2 linked regions of the Bombyx mori genome follow. The protein of the gene in region 2 interacts with the protein of the main gene of each other region in a pairwise test. Links are inferred from orthologs where the notes say so. Each region holds a gene or a part of one and is shown on either strand. Other genes may lie near its edges.

The links.
Region 1: the proteins of MAGUK p55 subfamily member 7 (region 2) and protein lin-7 homolog C interact in a two-hybrid assay, tested with the Drosophila melanogaster proteins (2 studies listed by BioGRID). The link is inferred for Bombyx mori from reciprocal best matches to the Drosophila melanogaster genes metro and veli.

The regions. Positions count from the first base shown.
Region 1 is NC_085116.1:14,601,509-14,605,110, forward strand, and holds protein lin-7 homolog C, read right to left. Parts: upstream 2,369-3,602; 5' UTR 1,598-2,368; coding exon 1,001-1,597; 3' UTR 502-1,000; downstream 1-501.
Region 2 is NC_085107.1:10,946,302-10,949,818, forward strand, and holds part of MAGUK p55 subfamily member 7, read left to right. Parts: intron 1-74; coding exon 75-392; intron 393-1,082; coding exon 1,083-1,253; intron 1,254-2,310; coding exon 2,311-2,483; intron 2,484-3,517.

The sequences.
Region 1 (3,602 bases), on a different chromosome or scaffold from region 2:
AATCCCACAAGCAGATGCCGCTAAAATAGGTACTTAACAAATGTTCACGATTGACTTCCACAGTGAAGTAATAGCATCGTGTAATAAGAATCAAACCTGCAAAATTATAATTTACATAATCACTGGTGGTAAGACGTCTTGTAAGTCTGCACAGGTAGGTACCACCACCCTGCCTGTTGTTACTGTCAAGCATTAATGCATTTCGGTTTGTATGATGGGGCAGCTGTTATACTGTTAAAAGTGAGACGTAAATGTCTACAGGCTCCAGTAGCCACATAAAACAAGGTGGGCCGAGAGCTCATCCATAAATCTAAGTAATAATTTACTCATGGTAGAAATAGACAGAATAGTGGTAATTAACAAGGTGCAGTTACAATCTGTTTGTACATCTATTCAGTTTGAGTCATAAATACTTTCTTTTCTTTAATTGTTCTGTCGAGGGCACTTCTATGATTATTGAGGTTGACTACATTTGTAGAAATCACAATTGTTGACAATAAATCTGGTACAGCCTCAATTATATTTTAATATTAACTTAAAAACTAAATTAAGTACATACAATAAACATTCATAACATGTGCAAAAACTTATAATACATCTACAATACATTCATTTCGTTTATTTAAGTATTTTAATTAGTAATTAATTGTTAAGTATTTTAAACATGTGTAAATAAAAGGAAATTTCTTTAAAACACCGTTTAGATTTAAATAGAAGAAAACTTTATAATTAAATTCACACTAACAAAGTTTTCATTTAATATATAAATAAATAGCAGATTGAATATTTTTCAATACTTGAATAGTTCCCAATTTTTAATAGCCATGGTCTCCAACTGCCAACTGATTGGGTGTAAAAGTAATATAGGTTTTTATAAAATTAAATAAAGTTTTACAATGCCTTAAAGATTATCAAAGTTCCTCATTAAAACATAGGATAAAAATAACAGGTACATTAATACACTTTGTTTGATAAATGACTGCAAAGCCGGTGAAAAATTTTAGTTGTAGTTTTGGCGTCGCCGTGTAGTTCTTTGCTTGTCGAATCTCATCTCCATTTCCTCCAAGACCTTTGGTGTGTACCTGACAACTAATTTTACGGATCCCACGGCTTGCTTCAGAAGTTCTACGGCTTTCTCGTGATTCTCGCCTTCAACTGAGACTCCGTTAACGGATAAAAGTTGATCACCCCTCTTCAAGCCACCATGTCTGTCAGCAACTCCGCCCGGTATTATCCTAGATATATAAATCGGAGAATTTTGTTCTTTTCCGCCCATTACGTTGAACCCTAAGCCTTCCTCAGTTTTCGGCAGTTCCACTACTCGAGGGTGAGCGTGTCCTTCTGCAGCAGCAAATGCGGCCACCGTTGCCTTTGCAGTTGCGGAAGCTCTTATGTCTGCGGAGCCTTGTATGTCTACAGTCTCGTAGACGTGCTCGTAAACCTCTCTTACGGCATTTAGAAAGTCGCTCTGCAAAACTTTCTGGAGAGCAGCTAATTTCGTTGCAGGGACTTCGCCACTCTGTTGCAGTTTCTCGAGTAATTCAATGGCACGTTTTATATCCCTAGCTAACGTTAACTGTTCGCCAGTGGTAGTCATTTTGAACACTTTTTGAAACTAAAGTAGTATACACAAAATTGTGAGTATAAATTAACACGAAATATACTTTTAGAGAATAATAAATTTATGTAGAAATCAGTGATTCAGTGACTAAATCAAATCAATTGAATTCAAAGAGTAAAATATAGATGATACACTTAAAAAAATAAGAAGAGTACTAGGTATCTATGGTGTTAAGAAATAAAAGGATTGGACTATATTTTTAAGTGTGTAGGATATTTCTGGGGATTGGATTGTATGTTCAAAAAATCTGTACAATAACGGACAGAAATTATCACTGAGATACACAAATAAGAGAATGACTGACGATAACTAGGTATCTGTTATACTTGATGAACATATGCCTTCCACAAAAAACATCACTGCACTTACCAAGACAGCCAAGATTAAACGGTTTTCAACTTATATAATTTTTAAATTGTATAGACAGGTTAAAGAACTCACGACCAACTTATTTTCAAGTGGGTACCGAATTCCTCCGCAGGATGTTAGTACTATCCGAGATTGGAAAGTAGGCTTACTCTTCATCTCAAACAATTCTGTTTAACTGCCAGGGAAATAGGAATATGAGAGAGTTAACAATAAAGTCACTTTTACTCAAATTAGTTTGTGAAGTTTTGGACTTGAATCACATCAAGTGTTCCATGATAAGTTTAAAAAGTCAAATTCATCATATAATTACTACTGATGCTCCATCAGTGTCCGCTCATGAAACCTGGCACCCACTAACTTATTGCAGCCCAACCATCGGTTTTCTTTTCCTTTCCTTTACCTATAAAATTGGATAAAACTAAAACAGAACATGAAACGGAAAAATGTCAAAATGTCAGTTGTCAATTATATAGCGACTAAGAATTTTATTATTTACAATTCAATAAAAACATGTTTGATTCGTCTATCCACGAACAGTATTAACAAGTAATTTCTTGCTCATTTATACATATTTAGCTGTGCAACTGTGCCATTTGTTATTTGTGTTAGTGTAGTGAAAAACTTAATCTTAAGTCTGAAGAAAATATGGATGACCTAGGTGAGTTCATGTTATCATAACCTGTTTGTGTACTCCAAATTGAATGCCCTATGACGTGTTCTCCTAAAAATAACTTTGAATTTGCATTTGATTCCTTGCCGAATCTTCTAGTGAATTTACATGGTACATTATAATATACTTGACATGTTTACTTTCGTTTGATAAAGTTTATCACTGTCATTTGGGTCATAAGTTAATTATTTAATTGATAATGCTTAAAGTTTCTTCGGTAATTCAAGGTTTTAGCATGTATAAGCTCTAAGTAAATTATTCCTCCTGATTATGATTGCTTTCTTAAACAACAATTGTGTCAAGTGACGAAACAGCTGATGAGTTTTATTGAAATCATTAAAGATACGTAGGTACCTACTATACCTAGTTTTGGAATTAACTTATGAAAACAGTGTTTCATAAGTAGTAAGACACTTTCTTTTGATAAACAATCTTTTTACATAGAGCTGTTACTAAAACTGCTGTTGTACATTATTGACAATAGTCACTATTGACAATGATCATCTATTAAGTCATGTGGCTTCGTTTTAAATCAATGAAAACAAGGCTTAATTGAGATTCAGAATGTGTAAATAAAATAGCTCGTACAGCTTTGTATATCCTATTGAATTCTGACATTATGAATTCTGGCTAAAATAATGGAAAAGTGATTATTTCAATGCAAGTGAGACTTACAAATAGTTTTAAAAGGTGGTTACACACTATGAATTCAAGTCATTCATTTCCATCAATTGCAATTTAAGGTTAACTTTCCATCAATGCTATTGTGGCTTGGCTCTGCCCCTGGTATTGCTTATGTCCATCGCCATCTTCGTGGTACGTATACATCGTTCTACAAGAGCAATAAAAAAAATATAAAAGAGAATTTTGATAGGTTAAATTCTACCTTAAACACCATAATACAACTAAGGAACTTGTGAGGTGTGTTGCCTGAGGTTGAGT
Region 2 (3,517 bases):
CTTTGAAATTTCATCCTACCCTCACTTTTTGCGGTCTACAAGAAAAGCTTGATCTGTTGTTGCGGTGTTTTTAGGTAAGCCCGCCCTTTGTAGTCCGTCTGCGTCCAGTTCTGACTGTGCCCCGAAAACGCCATGTTCACCGACGCCGACGGCCACAGCGCTCCTGCCCTGCAAGTCGATTCCGAAAGTCAAGAAGATCATATACGACATAACGGAGAACGACGATTTCGATAGAGAATTGATACCGACGTACGAGGAGGTCGCCCGGCTGTACCCGAGGCCGGGTCTGGTACGCCCGATCGTGTTGATCGGAGCGCCCGGCGTCGGCAGAAACGAACTGAGACGGAGGCTCGTCGCTACGGACCCGGAGAAGTACATCACTCCGATACCGTGTAAGTTTTTATTTTTTATTGCTTAAGATGGGTGGACGAGCTCACAGCCCACCTGTTGTTAAGTGGTTACTGGAGCCCATAGACAGCTACAGCGTAAATGCGCCACCCACCTTGAGACATAAGTTCTAAGGTCTCAGTATAGTTACAATGGCTCCCACCCTTCAAACCGAAACGCATTACTGCTTCACGACAGAAATAGGCGGGGTGGTGGTACGAACAATATTATTATCAAATTTACTTTAAAAAAAACATCTATACTGATATTATTATCATAAATGTCATAAATCATAAACTAAAAAAATCATATCCTTCGTGCATTTGTATGTTCGGTACTCGGCCACGCAAATGTCTGAAAAAAGTTAAATGAAATCTATACTTTAATCTATAAATCTACAATGGTTTTTACGGATGTTCCGTTATAACTATTGAACAGTGCATCCGATTGATTTGAAACTTGGTTTCCATGTAGAAAATACATGTACTTAATGAATAGGCTAATATTTATATGAGTGTTGGACTCCCTAATAATAATGACAATAAATAATAATGTTAATTTTAAATACCCAGCGAAGCGGGCGAGTACGGCTAGTTTATGGACCAGTATCCAGACTAAGGCGCGCTAATAAATTCATAAAAGAAATCTTTGTTCACGAGATTTGCTAATCTGTAAATAAATTTTAAACATTACAGATACGTCGCGTCCTATAAAATCAAGCGAACAGAATGGTAAAGATTACGTGTTCGTAACTCGGGAAAAAATGGAACAGGATATAACCGATGGGAAATTCATAGAGCATGGTGAATACAAGGGCAATCTTTATGGGACCGCTGCCGAAAGCGTCGAGACTATTATTAATACTGGTAAAAAAAAACTTGATAAATTAATAATATACTTGCTGTGAAATAAGCATTTTTTGTTTAAATTTATAAATATTAATTTGCATTTATGCATGTTCATGTTTAAGTATAGTTAACCAGCAATGCACAGCGAATGCTTCTAGCGGTCATTCACCTGCGTCGCACAAGCTTGTAGTTTCCGCTCGTTAGCTGATTATTTATATAAATATATCGTCTTACATTACGTACACTGCATGAATCATTAGTTTAATACAAAATTTATCATTGGATTTTTTAATGTGTTCGAGGATTTGTCAGCCAGCCAATTTTGACATCTGGTAACATGTAGCTGCTTTTTTAATCTAATCTTATTTCTCGTTTACTTTTTGGAATTTTTTTTTTATTGCTTATATGGGCGGACGATCTCACAGCCCACCTGGTGTTAAGTGGTTACTGGAGCCCATAGACATCTACAACGTCACCTCATGTGAGACTGCACGGGTGTGGTACCTACCCGTGCGGTCTCACATGAGGTCCTACCACCAGTAAGAAGATGATGATGACTTTTATTCACATACACATAAAAATAAAACACGTGCTACGTATTGAATGAAGGAAATCGATATAGATTTTTTTAATGCTTAGATGGGTGGAAATATTGATCTGGTAATGAAGACCTTTAAGTCATGTCTTATTTTAATTTATATTCTTATTTTTATGAAAAATTATATTATGAAATGGAATAAATGAAATCAGATGAGATGATATGGGATGAAATATAATCTCAGTAAAATGGTGGTCATTTACGGAGATTTTTTCAGTGGACTTTTTGGAGGATCCCGAGAAGCTACGTTCAGCGGCTTTGTTTCATTTTCCCACATTTGTGCACTTTCAGAGATATTAAACAGTTAAATAAACCACCGTTATTACACATTTAAACCTGAAGAAACACTAAATAGACAAAACAAAACAAATCACACAATTACACTCCTCGCGTTTCCGCCAAAAAGTCCAAATATAACTTCGATAAATTAATTAGGAAGTACCCTCGTGAACTTATTCTGGAAATTGTTCTCTTCAGGTCGTGTGTGTGTGTTGAGTCCGCATTGGCAGGCCCTAAAGATGCTTCGAACTCCGCGCCTGCGTCCCTACATCGTGTTCATTAAGCCTCCGTCCTTGGAGAGGATGGTCGAAACGCGGACTGCGGCAAACGCGCGTTCCACATTCGATAAGGAATCATCCAGAGCATTCACGGTATGTGACGCTAATAACAGACGCATGTATAGTCCTAATTCAAACATTTATATGTAATTGCAAACTAAAAATAAAGAAAAATATACCCTACAGCATATAGTATGTAAATTGATGGTTAGCAAAGATATTGTCGACGACTTAGTTTAAATCATAATAATAATACCTTTATTTTCCGAACATTTTACATTTTAAACTAACAATTTCAAGTAGACTAAAAAAAACGGAAAAAAGCAATATATTATATGAAAACAAAATATAAGATTAAAATCTACACTTCCACTATAAAATGTCTCGTGTCGGTGTGCCTCTGCCAAGGCTTCCTCCAACTCTTTCCACTGCTTTCTGTCTCTTGCTACTCTTATCCAAAGGGGTCCAGTGGTAATTTTTAGTTCATCCTCCCATCTTCTTGGTTTGCGACCTCGGCTTCTCACACCATCCTCATCCTTCTCACACCTCGGGTACCATACTGTCACCTGTACGCTCCATTTTTCCTTTTTGCAGCAGACCATACATATTAATATGATCTATCGATTAAATTTTTTAATTATACAATCATGCAAAAATATGCTTTATTTCTTTGCGTGTCCCCGTCTGCAATACCGTCGAGATATGAGTTCTAAGGTCTCAGTATAGTTACAACGGCTGCTCCACCCTTCAAACCGAAACGACTTACTGCTTCACGGCAAAAATAGGCAGGGTGGGTGGTACCTACCGGTGCGGACTCACAAGAGGTCCTACCACCAATAATTACGCGCATTATAATTTTGCGGGTTTGATTTTTATTACATTTTTTTTTATTGCTTAAGATGGATGGACGAGCTCACAGCCCACCTAGTTACTGGAGTCCATAGACATCTACAACGTAAATGCGCCACCCACCTTGAGATATAAGTTCTAAGATCTCAGTATAGTTACAACTGTTATATATAGTTATTATTCCTTCACCGTGGAAGTCAATCGTGAACATTTGTTAAGTACGTATTTCATTAGAAAAATTGGTACCCGCCTGTGATTCGAACACCGGTGCATCGCTC